Linked DNA regions of Astyanax mexicanus. The protein of the gene in region 1 interacts with the protein of each later gene in a pairwise test. Links are inferred from orthologs where the notes say so. Each region holds a gene or a part of one and is shown in the gene's direction. Other genes may lie near its edges.

Evidence for each region. The genes of interacting proteins can lie anywhere in the genome.
Region 2: the proteins of plekhf2 (region 1) and frmd8 interact in binary tests that used the Homo sapiens proteins (3 or more experiments, as listed by UniProt). The two-hybrid records come from large-scale screens. The link is inferred for Astyanax mexicanus from reciprocal best matches to the Homo sapiens genes PLEKHF2 and FRMD8.

The regions. Positions count from the first base shown.
Region 1 is NC_064413.1:18,442,161-18,449,338, forward strand, and holds the start of plekhf2 (pleckstrin homology domain-containing family F member 2), read left to right. Parts: upstream 1-4,084; 5' UTR 4,085-4,587; intron 4,588-7,178. UniProt on the Homo sapiens protein: May play a role in early endosome fusion upstream of RAB5, hence regulating receptor trafficking and fluid-phase transport. Enhances cellular sensitivity to TNF-induced apoptosis.
Region 2 is NC_064427.1:12,714,547-12,722,466, forward strand, and holds the start of frmd8 (FERM domain-containing protein 8), read left to right. Parts: upstream 1-4,817; 5' UTR 4,818-7,920. Other genes in the region: uncharacterized protein ehbp1l1b, read left to right, coding at 557-671, 1,583-1,670. UniProt on the Homo sapiens protein: Promotes the cell surface stability of iRhom1/RHBDF1 and iRhom2/RHBDF2 and prevents their degradation via the endolysosomal pathway. By acting on iRhoms, involved in ADAM17-mediated shedding of TNF, amphiregulin/AREG, HBEGF and TGFA from the cell surface.

The DNA.
Region 1 (7,178 bases):
ATTACATAAAAAACACAGTTCTGAGAAATGGAAAATAAATGAAAATTGTTTATGAAGATGTGTAAAAAAACTGTGGAGAAAACACAAACAAAATGAAAAAACAACAAAAGCCCAAGGAAAATTTTAATGGTAAAAGCAGTGACGGCGGTAAAAATAACAATAACCAATAAAACCAGACACAGAATCAGGTTTGTGAATAAAAAAGAACATATAAATCTCATAAGATGAAGAAGATAAAATAAGATAAGATGTAAATTCCACACAAAAAATACAAAAACAATGTGCAATGGAATCAAATGCTTGAGTGTGTTGATAGAGCATGACATTAAAACGCAGCCTAACCTTTTTATGCAACTCGGTGGAGCACGAATTGCGCGCGATGTGCGAGTTACCTCCGAGCCTGGAGACGGGCTTCAGGAGTCAAATCCATGGGAGTGTGTGAGGCTTATCCCGCGCGCGCGCGCGTGTGTATATGTTTGTGTATGTGTGTGATCGCTGCGCGCGCAAAAAGATGGCACCAAGAAGTACGCGTGAAGGCGAGACTGCCCTTCGCATCGGTTTTTAATAGCTTAATTTTAGATCGATTTTCATATAATATGTAAACGTTCAATGCCCACATAAAAGGAACTTTTAAACCCCGCTGTGTGTATCAGGATCTGGATATCAGATGTTGCTGTTTTTTTCTGGCTGACGGATCTGTTGTTGGGCTCACTAGATCCAGCACAGCTTAATGGTGATCAAATTCATGAAATTAGATTAGCATTTTCTGTTCATTCTCTATAATGTTCTTCATAGAATAACAAAATCAGATTATTTTAATCTTCAGTATTTTTTGTTTTATTGTTTTAATTTATCACTCAGCAATATTGATACCAATTGACAGAAACTGTATATAATAACATTGAAAGAGAGAATACGTATATAGCCTATAGTGTATCTATGACACCGTTCCCAAATTAAAAAGTGAACTGTTTTGATTGGCTGCCTTGTGCTACATTCAAAGTGTTGTCCAGGCTAATAACACTACAGTGCTCCAGAAACATTATCACATTTTTTTTTCTTTAATAAAAAAATAAACTGTATTATCTGCTTGCATTAAGTTTTTACTCTCAAATTAATTATCTCCAGATTTATCTTGGCATTTAGAGCAAATTAAGTGCATTAGCCTCTTAGGCCTGTAGGTGGCAGCAAAACCCCACTGCTATCATATTATCTGTTGTCGAGGGATGCTAAAGGTTATATATATCTGTGAATTTTGTGACTGGAACCGTTTTAATGGAAAATTACCACTATATTACTATTTGTGTTACACTCAGCATTAAATAATTCATCCATGAAGCTACTGAGAAACCTGTTGTTGCTTTAAAATAAAAAAAGAAATAATTAAATATATTTGTGTGGCCATACAACAGAAACAGTCTGTTTCATTTTACATATTTTGAATGAAATGACGTTCAGATATAGGCTAATAGAGCAATGTCTGTTGTCAAGCACTAAAACAGTTCAACATTCTCATATGTGTTTCACATGGGTGACATGTGGGCTTTTACTGGAATCCAGTTGGACTAACCAAATTGCCTCTATCAATGCAACCCACCTTAATTTCACATGGGTGCTATCTAGGCCCCATGTACAGTGCACAACCCATATGGGGCCCATGTTTAACTTCTTCTGGTTCCATCACTGAGCCTGATGGGACCCACTACTGACATTCGTTTATGAAGCTAACATTGAACCTGTGGGGCTGCTGATTTTGACCTGTTCCCCTGCATGAAGAAAGTATCTTACTGTTGTAGGAAATATCTTCCAAAAGCATGCTGTAAATTTAGGACCTGATATTTCAGTCCATCTTGAACCCGGAAAGGTCCATGTAGTTCAACATAATAGCAGCCAATGCCAGAACCCTTTCTTCACCTTGCTGGTGTCTGGCTAATGTGGTGACCTTTGTGATCCAGACATGGGTCCATTCAGATTTTCCATCAAGCATCACTCTTATTTAAACTATTGAAACATCTGGTTTTTAGGTGTTTCTTTGCCCATCTTTGTGCTTGTAACACTTGAAACAACTTAATCCAATGACTTAATTAGGGTGTTAACACCTGTCCTCATCCTACAAATATATATTTCCTGAAAATGACTAAATTCAATAAGCAATCAAGTTTAAATAGTTTGGAGTTGTGCTTAGATAATGATAGGGCCATAATATTCACTCATATATGATATTTACACATAAATAAATATGAAGTAAATATGACTTTGCAATTTTTCAGTTTCAAATACTACATAAATGCAGCATTTATAGCAATTGCTTTAGAGTGAATGGCCAGGGCTAAACTGCTGCATTCTGAATAGGTCGATATATACATGGTGTAAATTATTTTCAGGAAATCTAAAAAAAAAAAGAAACAATAAAGCATTTTTTTAAATGGATGGGCAGCTCGGAGTGACATATACAGACATCCGCATTTACAAATAACACTTCTTTGTGATCTTACAATGTAGTCCAAGATGTGTGCATAAGTTTTTTAGGAAAATATCAAAGCATAGAACAGAATCTCTCTAAAAGGCATCCCTTCATTTTTTTGAATAGTATAATTGTCATGAATTCGCGAAAAATGCAGGGCCTTCATGTGACCTTAAAGGTGATATATCCAACATTTTAAACATTAATATAGCAGCAAACAACAAACTTTATATAAAGATGTAGTCAAGCAAAATCACACACCCTCTTTGGCAGTTGTTTTATGGTCTTTGTGTTCGTAGCAGGTCTGTTACTCGTTTTTTGTTTTTCCCAAAACAGGAACTGCTCACCTCCATATGTGAAGCATTTGTTTTGGTCTGAGATGCTGATGCCCTTGTTCAACATCTACTGGCAGAAATGATCATAGATAGAGCCTTTAAGGGGAACATATTGGATATAAGGCTTATCTATCAGACAATAAGACACACTAGGAAAACAGAGGCATGAAAAGCCACAGGTGACTAGCAGTATGGAGATAGGTAAGGTGCATTAATAGCTAGGAGTTAAAAAGGAGTTAAAATGGCTGGGCAAATGGATCTGTAGATACAACTCATTAACTCGTTAAACAGACATATCTCACTAAACAGTGGTAACAAGCTACAATCTAAGGTACATTATGCAATGTAAGATATCATGTTTATGATGAGACCCTTAAATAAGAAATCAACCTGAAAGTTGAAACCTGTAGTGTTTCTATTTTTTCATTCATCTTGCTATTTTAGCAACATTCAGACTATGAAGCTAAATTTATGTAATTATTCAATAAACAAAAAGTGTTAAACAAACCAGAATATATTTTATATTTTATTTAAAGTAAGTACCTCTTGCTTAGAAAACAGCTTTGCACATCTTGGCTGGATTTTCTCAGTCAGCTTTATGAATTAGAGTCTGGATTGGCTTTCAGTTAACAGCTGTGCTGAATTCATTATTTAACTGTCTTCCTATTTCTTCCTAAATGTTTTAAAGTATCATTTATTTTACTTTAATCCTAAATATATTGGAGATATTTGAAGTGAATTATAAGTATCATGACATTCTGGATCATTGACTTCTGTTACAAATCGGATAAAATTATTGTATTTTTTAATATCTCAGTTAGGGTTGTGCCATATCATATTGAATGCAATAATAAAATTACTTTTTATTTGTTGCAGTAGTGTATTTTGGAAAAAAAAAAAATAATAATTCAGTGTTTTGTCATATCGCCAAGAGTATTGTTATAGTGAAAATACCATGAAATATCATGATATTATTTTAATGGCCCACCCCTACCAAAGAGTTTTTTGGTTTGTTTAACGCTTTTAAGTTTATAGTAATTTAGGATTCCTTATGTGTTCCTTTCTGGATGATTTTTTTTCGAGTGAGAAATAGATGATGGTTGTATGTAACTTACTGAGAGCGCACCTGTAGTTCTTAGTTGTGTTAGTGTTAGAGTGTATTGTAATGGAGTAATGTAGCTCTGTGTCACACTGTGCTTCAGTAGTGGGTTAGCTAACTAGATTAGCTACTTCCTTACAGACGCAGCCTGTGGCTCTGCTTCTCTCATCAGACATACAACAAGAGAGAGAGCACTCCTAAAATAGCAGCGAGAGCTTCTAGCGCAGGCTAGACTGCTGGCTGATGGTGTTAATATAAGGTCAGTGTGTGTATTCGTGTGGCTGTTGTTCGTGCTATAAACGCGCACGCACAGTGAGAGCAGTGCAGCGGGGTTGTTCATAAATCTTAGTCCAGTATTCAGGCTGGAGGAGTAGAGGATCAGTGTAAATAAGCGCTGAGAGCGGCTCTATTCTCCCACACTGACTCAGTAGCGCCCACATTCCCTTCCCTTCCTCCTCCGGACCAAACACTCAGCCATATTGCTGCTGTTGCTGCGGCTCACAGGGGGCTGGAAGTTTACCCTGGCTGTGAGAAACAGTGCCAGAGAAGTTGGAAGAGCAGAAAATAAGGACGGGGACTAGCTAAGAGCGCTTGGTTTGGATTTTAAACCGGACTGTTGTTACTGAGAGACACTTCTATCCCTATTTGCCCTATTGCCCGGGCTAATCCCGCCGCTGCCGCGGTGCTGGGTAAGTTTCTAACTTTAGCTAACGCTAGCTAAGCTGGAGTTACTAAGCCTAGTTAACCAGTCGTGTGAAACGAATGTGAGTTAAGTAGCCTGGCTAAACTGTTGCGCCCAAATTGTGTACGAAACTACCAAAGTAGCAGGCTTAGAAACGGTTAAAACAACCTGAATTCGTGTGTTCACGATATGATAGCTAACGGTGTTTACTATAGCTACCTAGCTAGTTAGCTAACTACTTTCTTTCAAAGTGTTGGCAAGGCAACTAACGTTAGCTAGCTAGCGTTATAAACCGCCCCGAATAACACATCATGTACCTTATATATATTACTTTATTCTGTGTAAATGGCATCTGGCTACAAACTAATAACTAGCTAGCTACCTAGGTTAGACAGCTATAGATCTGGCTAACTGCTCACTAGCTTGCTTAACTTCCCTAAGGACTGAAACCAGCTCGGTTTCGTGGAGCTGGCTAAAGCTAGCGCTAGGTTAACATCAAGATCGAGAGGACCACCAAACTGCGAGTAACTAGCGAGTAACTGTCTTTAAATTAAAAAGTTAGTTGGGATTTTTGAGTCGTTTATGTTTTTGTACACAGTGTTTATTATTTTTGGTATTTTAGGAAGTTTTTAGACGTTTTAAGGGTGACTGAAACTGAAGAGCTGTCCGCCCTCTGTCACTTAAGCTAACCAACTTGTTGGTCGAGTAATTGTTCTGCATTAGCAAAGCCTGTTTTTTTAGTTATATCAGTCTCTGCAACTTTTCTGGAGTTCAGCTGCTTGCATGGAGCATTATAGCTAGCGAACTAAACAGCAGAATATGGGATCTAACGCTATGTTGATACTTACTACTACCTTAATCTCTTTTTATGTCTGTCAATTTTCTGCCTGATATTAACGTTACACGCCTAAATCTTGAGGAAAACTTATCTATCCAAGCATTACATAAATAGGTTTCAAATTTTATAAGAAACATTACTGAAAATCTAAATTATATATATTTCTTTAGAAAATATTGAAACAATATTTAATTAAATCTGTAACGGTAAACAATAAAACTATTGTAAATAAAAATATAGTGAATAAAAATCACAAAAATGGCTAATTTCTAAGCTTCATGAATACAAATCAAACACCTAATGTCTTTTTTTTATTTTATTATGTCTGAACTTTTATTTTGTTACGTTATCTAGTTTTTATGTCTAATTTCAAACATTTTTTAAACAAATTATCAGGTGGAGTAGAGAGTGAACAAGCAGCTTTTATTTTGGTGCAGAGAAAAGGGGTTTGAAATCACCTACATGTGTAGGCCATATATGGACCAAGGCCTGTTAAGGGGTTAATTCTGAGTTTCTCAGTAGTTCAGGTTATAGGCGTTTAGAGTCACAGTCTACACAATTCACTCAGTTCACCCAGTCTAGTGTAGGTAAGTGAAAGTTGCAGGTGGTTAGCTTTAGCTAGGTTAACAAAATAAATAGAAAAAAAAAATATGCCTAACCTCTTCTATTCATATAAAGTACATATACTTTTATTATTATTCTCCGCCCAACAGTTTTCCTGTGCTTGTTAGCTAGGTTATCTAACTAACCTACCTAAGCACACAAAAACCAGTAGATCAAAATTGAGGCACTACAGACAGGTCATGCATGTTTAGAGATGAACAGCTAAATGTTTATCCTGATTTGAACAGATATGTGCAGTTTACTCGGTTAGATGTCAAAACTGAAAAAACAGGAGAGGGACTTTCCTGCTGGGCAATTCTCAACTTTGATATAAATTTATTTGTCCCAGTGAAAAATCCCACTTTGTAAAATAACTACTATTTATGTGGGTCTTCCTTGTGGGTAGAGATGGTGTAATACCTCTTTTTTCCACCTGTGCTGATACTGAAACCCTGAATATTGGCTAATACAGATTTAAATCTAATATTTAAAAAAGAGTGCTTATTGAAATATTTTATGCTATTAGCTGTTTTATGTTATTGGGTAATATTGTAAAAAAAGTAATAATATGAGCTATTCTCAATTACTTTTCAGATGTTTAGTTCTTACATAACTTACCCAGCCCTCTCATTAGGACTCCCCCATCACCAGTAATGCCCCAACACCAGCAGGGTGAAGACTAGCATATGCCTCCTCCGATACATGTGAAGGCAGCCACCGCCTCTTTTCGAGTTGCCAGCGCACTCAGAGGAAAGCACAGTAATTCGGTCCCGATACATGAGCCCACAGACGCCTTGTGCTGAGCTAAATCACCCTTTTAGAGTTATGAGGGAAAAGAGCGCACTCTACCCACCCAGAGAGAGCAAGGCCAATTGTGCTCTCTCAGGGCTCCGGCAGCTGATGGCAAGCTACATGAACATAGGTTTCTGGCAGCTTCTACATGTTAAGATACAATGTAAAGATACAAAGTACAATTTTGATTATCCCATTTTTAAAAATCCCATTAAAATTAATCTAATTAATTTGATTAACCTCCCAGCCCTACTGTTAATATATGTATATGCCGTGCACTAAACACATGCCATACATTATTATTATGGCAACTGATGTCATGGTGTGATATAACTCAGGAAAGAACTTTATTTTTCTTCCCAATG
Region 2 (7,920 bases), on another chromosome or scaffold:
GTAATTCAGAGGATCCAGTGATGTTAACGAGAAAAATGTACAAAGAAATAACCATACAGAGTTCTGAACATATTTTTTTACCACATAATGTTGGTCATTTAAAGATGACGTAACGGTGAGGTATGTTTTGTGTTAAGCACCATGCAGGTATACTGCGGTCAGACTTTCTGCAGTCAAACGTATTTTTGTTCTCTTTCCTTCATAACTGTAGACCAATGTTGTGCATTTGTCAGATTTTCCATCTTCAAAAGTAGCTAATGCTAGCATCACATCTACACCTTGTTTTATTCAGTCTTGCACACAGATACCCAGGCAGAGCAGCAGCAACTGGTTAATCAGCTCTCATTAAAACAGCAGAACACCCTGTAGTCCACTTTCTGCTGTATATCAGGACTATATCAGATGTTTTATTATCATCACACTGATTATTCATTTATTCAATATATCTGTTTTATTGTGGAATAGTCTCTATAATCATTGTTTTTACAACCGAAATGTGTAATATATTTGTAAAATCTGGGTTTATTGTGTGTGTGTGCTCGTTGTGTGTTGTCAGAGTGGAAAAAGAGTCAGGCTCAGCAGCTCCGTGAGCAGCTACTCTTGCAGGAGTTGGTCAGTCTGGTTAACCAGAGGGATGAACTAGTCAGGGATATGGATGCTAAAGAGAGAGGGTGAGTCTTAAAATTATGTGCTACACACAAACACACACACACACACACACACACACACACACACGTACAGTGGTGTGAAAAAGGGCAAACACAAGATCATGATTTCTTATTTTTCTGCATGTTTGTCATTCTTACATGTTTCAGATCATCTAAAGACAACACAAGTAAACTCAAAATGGAGTTTTTAAATAAGGGTTTTAATTATTGGGGGAGACTGAAAATTCAAACCTTAGGGGCCCTGTATGAAAAAGTCTTTGTTTCTACTTATAATATAATATAATATTATAACTTATAATATGAATTCAAGCCCCACTAGGTAGGATTTCCTTGATTTTTTTTATCTTTTTAAAGAAGTAAAATTACAGCTTGAAACTCACTGCAGCGCTGCATTGAGGTGTAATAGGAGGAATAGCGGTGCTCTCGTGTCTGTGCCGGAGCTTCTCTGAGCTCAAACTAGACTCTAAGTAAGTTTTCCGAGGCGGCCGCGACCAACGCTCGCGAGAACTGCGACCTGCTTTCCGACCTTTAGTTCTAACAGTTGTACAAGGACTACTGGTTCATTCTTTACAAACTAACATACAGACACTCTGGCAGAAGCTGGAAAGAGACCGAATATGTCTGTGAAAGCCAGAAAACGAGAAAGAAAAACTAATCTGCCTAAAACATTTATTACACTCTGCAACTGTAGGGGGAGCCCACGAGCACGAAATCTCAATCCTACCTAGTGGAGCTTTTAACCATGTAGAAGTGAAAAACATGCAAAAAAATGTTTCACACCACTGTATATACTGTTTCTCTCATTCCTTTCACTTCACTCCCTGTGTCTATTTATACACACTCTCACTAATCTAATTGTGTGTGTGTGTGTGTGTGTGTGTGTGTGTGTGTGTGTGTGTGTGTGTGTGTTTCAGGGCATTGGAGGAGGACGCTCGACTGGAGCGTGGTTTGGAGCTCCGGCGTCGGAAGTACAGCAACAAAGAAAAGTGTGTGCTGCAATAATCAGCCGACCTACAGCAGTACATCTGAAATACATGCTGAAGGACCCGGTCACCAAGTTAATAGAGCACTGGACACCAAAGAGCCTTCTGACCTCTCTCAGAAACCAGAGAATAGCCTGATCATCTGGACAATCAACATTACACTCAGTTTTACAAGAGAACCCGCTTTAGATAGGAACGTATCCGTAAAATAACCTTTTCCGTTTTAATTTTATCTGCTGCCAAAAAGACCTTGCACGAGGAGAGCATCTCTGTTCTCTCTCTTCTACTCAATTGTTCTACTGTATTTAAGTGAGACTGTGTCATATGTGCTGTTTTACACTTATCCACATAGTACCTACTGTGTTGGGATGTCCAGATCCAGACACAGTTTTATTAAAAAAGGTGTTGCCTTTAATAAGTAGAATGTGGTGTGATGTTCCAAGCTTTTTTACCACTGTGTTCTATAACCTTCTGGTGCCATCTAGTGGCCATTGAGATACATTATTTCCAGCCTTAAGCAGTGTCCTTATTCTGTACACATTAAAGAATGATTAGAGATACAGCAAACATGCAAAAAGTGTTAATATGAATGAGTTCTAGCAAACCACTCTGAGACCCTCTAAAGATTAGATTAGATCAGTATGAGAAATAAGAAATTCACTTTGATCAGATTTGAATGAATCTGAATTAGGACATCTCTAGTGTGAACGCTGTCCGAGAGAGGGATTGCTTAGGTATTCCTCTGTCCTGCACTGATGTTCATCTTCTTATAGGAATGTTATTTTATGATGAAAAAAAAAAAATAAAACAAAAAAGCTGCTAAATGAAGAACATTAGAGAGGCTTTTTTAGACAGTCTGTTCAGATTAATGTATTTGTATTACTTGCTGCCGTGCCTTACACGTTTGATACAATTTTTTTGTTTTCTTCTTTTTCATTTATAAACTTATTTATAAGAATGTTTTATAGATATATTCAAAGTACCTTTGTTACCCTTTTCCCCGTTTATCTATATTCACTGATTTAAAGCTTGAGTTAAGAACTGCCAGAACCGTGGGTTTCATTGTTCTGGTGGGTTTTAATATTGCGGTACTATTTCTACTGTGCAAACTAAAATCATTTGCACCTTACAGAATGTTGTGTTCAATAAAACTGAATATTGTTTGATCAGCTGCCTGTTTGAGTCAGCCTTTTATACTTTAATCCGTTTGCAGGTACATAATTGCTTTTTCTAAAAGCATTAAATGGCCAAGAGTCTTTCAGAGTGGGTTTGGTGTAAAAGTCTTCACTCTAAATAGTCTAAATAGTTCACAATGGTGCTAAATGGAATCAGCAGTCTGAACCTTTTAAAACTCTGTCTCAAAAATAGAAAGAGATGGAGAAAGAACAAAACAAAGACCAAGGTGAGGGAGTGAAAGTACCTATGTATGTATCCTTTACACATACACTTGGTTTAATCAAACATACCATTTTTGCTAATTATATCTCTGCTGAAAATAACAGATCAGGCCCAGCTTGTCTCTTTATTATATTTGCCATCATTATATGATATGATTTAGTTTGAGTTTGATGGCTTGGCTGCTGTAAAAGTATAGCTTTACCATGCAGATAAACCAGCACAACCTAGATCAACAAGCAGATCAATAAGCAAGACCATTCAGGATCAAATGTAACACTATGCTGGTCAATAACTGGTTAACCAACTGGACAACCAGCATAACGTATTGTTGTGAAGATTGGATGAATAAATGTGTGAAGATTATAGGAACAGTGCCCCCTAGAGGCCAATAAGTGGACTACATGTGAGAGTCTGGAAATTTCCATTGCACATGCTCTGTTTAGAAGGTGCATAGCAGAACCATGAGGAGCCAGTTCAGCAGCTCCTGAGGTCATTGAGGGATATTTGTTATTTTGTGGATTTTGTGACTGTGTGCGTCTATAGAGCCGTAAGTAGAGGTGTTCTGTGTATATTACAGTGATGGTGGTTAAAAATGTTGCACACTTGAATGTTTATTGGTAAATGTTTATTACTTAGTTAAGGCCAATGCATTGGCTAGACATGGGGTGCACAGTGACAACTAAAAGTGTTGCCTAAGACATGCAGGGGTAAACATCTTGAGGACCCTTCATGAGGTTAATAACAGAACTGGTACCAAAGAGAAAGCTGAGGCTCCCACTGAAGTTCTGTACTTGGATCGGCGTGCTGGTTGCAATCGGGTCCTTCTCAAGATCAGCAAGGTGCTTCTACGAAATGGTGAAAACACCCTAGAGACTTATGCCATCCTTGAAGATGGCTGGGAGAGGACAGTCCTACTCCAGGATGCTGCCCAAAGGCTAAAGCTCCATAGCAATTCAGAGAAGCTGACATTGAGGACAGCACGACATGTTGTAAGAACACTGCAGGGTTCATCAGTGACATTCACTATTTCTCCTGTTGATCAACCAGCAAGAACATTCACAGTGGAAAGGGCATTCACTGCTGCACAGCTGGGACTGGCTGCACATACTTACCCAGTGGAACATCTGAATAGAAAGGTCAAGCACCTTAAGTCACTTCTTCTGGAGTGCTTTAACAATTTGAAACCACTCCTCCTCATAGGATCTGACTATTCATACCTGATAACCCCTGTCAGGCCAGTGCATCTTGGACCTCCTGGTGGTCCTGCAGCTGTGAAAACACAGCTCGGCTGGATGCTGCAAGGGCCAGTGAAGCACATGCAACAGCAGAACATGTCCCAGCAGTGCCTGTTCCTGTCTACTTGCTCTGCTGTTTCTGATCACTACAGTCAGGTAGAGAAACTTTGGCAGGTTGACAACCACCCTTTTCAGAGTGAGAAACTTGTGACTCGATCACAGAGGGACCAAGAGGCTATTAACCTGCTGTAAGACAAAACACAGCGAGTCGAAGTTGATGGGATACACCGTTATGCTACACCCTTGCTGCGAGTTAGAAACATGTGTAGCGCCCCCTAACTAGGGGTTACCAGACTACGCCACCCCTTAAATTACTTATTTTATTTAGAGTAAGGGGAACTCTCAATTAAGACACACAAGAACTTGACTGTAGTAGAAAATACAATGATTTATTTAAAACTGTATCAAAGTCACATCCACTGTCAGTTTTATTTATTAGGTGAGAGGAAAATATATATATATATATATATATAAATAAAAGAAATTAAGAAAATCACAAATTACCCAACTATGACCACTAGGTCCAGGGTATGGGGCAATATGAGGTCAATCCAATAGGACTAAAATAACACACGTGAATAAAGTTTAACTAATCACTGCACAGCAAACTTAAACAAAAAAAAAGCAAAGCACTAAAAATCACACTTCTAGTGAACAGGACTTGATATAGCCAAATATGGTTGACTCCAAACCCCCAGTCCCAGTAACAATTATAGCCACAGCTAAAATAAACTAATTGTACCACGTAGTTACAAATAGGCTAGAGTCTATACAGAGCAAATAATTAAAACCACATTACCTAAAATACCTGAGCAGTTAATACACTTAGTGCTACAAAATTTGTTATGGTAGAATAAACAAAATAAAAAAAAGAAATGCAACAAAAACAGAAAACAGCAACTGGCAACCACTGGAACTGTGGCTCTCTATGCAAATACACAAAAAACACATTAATACATTCATCACATGAAAACAGTGCAAATTGCATTCAAGTACAAGAGGAGACATACCACTTAATTCAAGGTGGAATGCTAACTTCGCCCATGGACAGGGTAGCAGCTTTAAACCTCTATTAAAAATAGATTACACACAAAATTAGTTAAAAACACGATATAAAGCCCATTTTGCATCCTGTTCAGAACATATTGAGACATATCTTACCTAAAGTCCCCAGGTGACCATTCTAAAACGGTACTAGTGTTAAATATAGTAGTAGCAGTTAAATAAAGTAGTAGCAACCAAAGCTAAAACACTTAAACTATTACAGACACAGCATATGGAGCTAAAGCAGCCCAAAAGCATAGAGTGTCTAATAGTGTACAATTAAAATGCAACAGGCATTTGCCTACTATTACAGAACTTTAAAAAGTGCAATAGTTTAAGCCTACCTGATCAAAATACCTTCAAAGTTAGTCAGGATAAGTAGAAATTAACAAGCAGCTTAGCCAAGAGCTAACAAACAAAGAGTGTAAATTACCTCAGCATATCATATAATTAGCCAGCCTACCTCTTATATCACTAGTGATGGGTCTGACGACCCTGAAACCTCAACACATGCGCCGAGCTGTCAAGGCGAAACCCCGTGTCGGTGCGTGTATCAAGTTGAGGAAAACCACGTGACCGATACACTTCCTGTGTCCTTTGGTAGCGATGGGTCTGACGACACTGAAACTTCAGCGCATGCACCGAGCAAACAAGGCGAACCCCTGTGTCGGGCCGCGTATCATTTTAAGGAAAACCACGTGACCGATGCATTTCCTCGCGCAGTTGCTTGCAATGACTTTCTTAGTCCAGCAGATGTCGCCATTAAGTGATACAGCAACACAGTTTCAACACAGTGTCGATACAGTTTGGGAAATGTGCCATACACACAATGAGGCTTCATCTGCCCATCACTATATATCACGTCGCCAGGCACAAACACAGACTGTTGCTATTTATAGCCACTCACAGCTGTTCTACCCCAACTGCGTGCAACAGAGAAGCGACTCCTCAATGATTCAGTGAAGGCAGAAGTCTATAAAGCAGAGCTAAAGAAGTCCTGGTTCACCCCCATCACTTAGTGACACACAATGCTTTCTGGCCCAAACCTGGGGCCTTCTCTTCTTAATGTCCTGCTGCGGTTGAGGGAACATTCTATTGCCATCAGCAGTGGCATAAAGGGCATGTTTTCTCAGGTTAGGCAGCTTCCTGAAGATTGTTCCCTTATTTGCTTCCTCTGATGTGATTTATGAAGAAACTCCCAACCCGATATCTTTGAGTGGCAAGTCCTTCCATTTGGGACAACATGCTCACCATGTTGCACCATTTATGCTCTTCAGCGGCATGTTTGTGACAACAGTTCTGATGGGGATGATGTCTGTCATTCAGTGCACAAGCACTTCTATGTTGACAATTGGCTCCAGAGTTTCCTTACAGTAGAAGATGCTCGGACTGTGGTGGACAACATGAGAAGGCTGTTGTGTGAAGAAGGCTTTGAATTGCGTCAGTGCTACAACACCTAGACAACATCAGCTTACTTTGTTGCTATGTGAGTGCCAAATTGGACCACATTCATAGCAAGCATGAGGTGCACATCGTCTGTGATGCATCAGAAGACACGCATGGGCAAGTAGAGGTGGACTTTCTAACAGCTTGTTTCAGAGTAGCCCCCAAACGGCAACTCTCCATACCTCGTTTGGAGTTGTGTGCAGCCCTTACTGGGGCACAATTAGCTAAGCTGCTGCAGAATGAGCTTACTTTGATCATCTTTAAAGTCATCATGTGTACTGATTCCACAACTGTTCTTTCATGGATTAGATCAGACTCCTGTTGTCACAAAGTGTTTGTGGGCACCCGCATTACAGAGATACAGTAGCTGACTGACACTCAATCCTGGCAGTATGGGACATCTGCTGAGAACCCAGCTGATGACCTTACACGGGGGAAGTCACTGGCAGATATAGTAGGAAAGAGTCAGTGAGCTAGTGGTCCCCTGTTTCTAGCTTTACTACCTGACCAATGGCCATCTAATGTCATCAAGCCCTAGCATTGAAGACTGTAGTGATCTATGTGGAGATGCAATCTGTCTGCTGACAACAATAACCTCTGCCCATGCCATCCCTGGTGCTCAGCAATTTGACAACTGATTGTCAAATACAGTGACTTAGTTGCTGAGACAGATCGATGTATTCATGGGGCGGCTGTAGAAGTAGAGGGAAATCCAAAAGAAGAGCCCTTCAAAGAAGCAGAACTCAGCCTTTTAAGATCTGCACAACTGGATAGTTTCCCTGAGGAGGTGCAGTGTCTTGCTGCAAGAAAACCACTACCCTACTCTGTTGACCTTGATGCCGGAGTTTGATCATGATCTGCGACTTATTCGTGTGGGGGGTCGGCTGATGCAACTTGAGACTGACATGTTTCATCCCGTTGTGCTGGATCCAAGGCACCCTGTAACCAAACTGATCATTCAAAAGACAGACAGAGACTTAAGGCATCCAGGTGCAGAGCATCTGTTTGCTAAGAGCACTCCGATCAGGGCACTAACTTCAAGGGAGGAGAAAGGGAGTTGCAAGAAGCATTCAAAGCCCTACACCC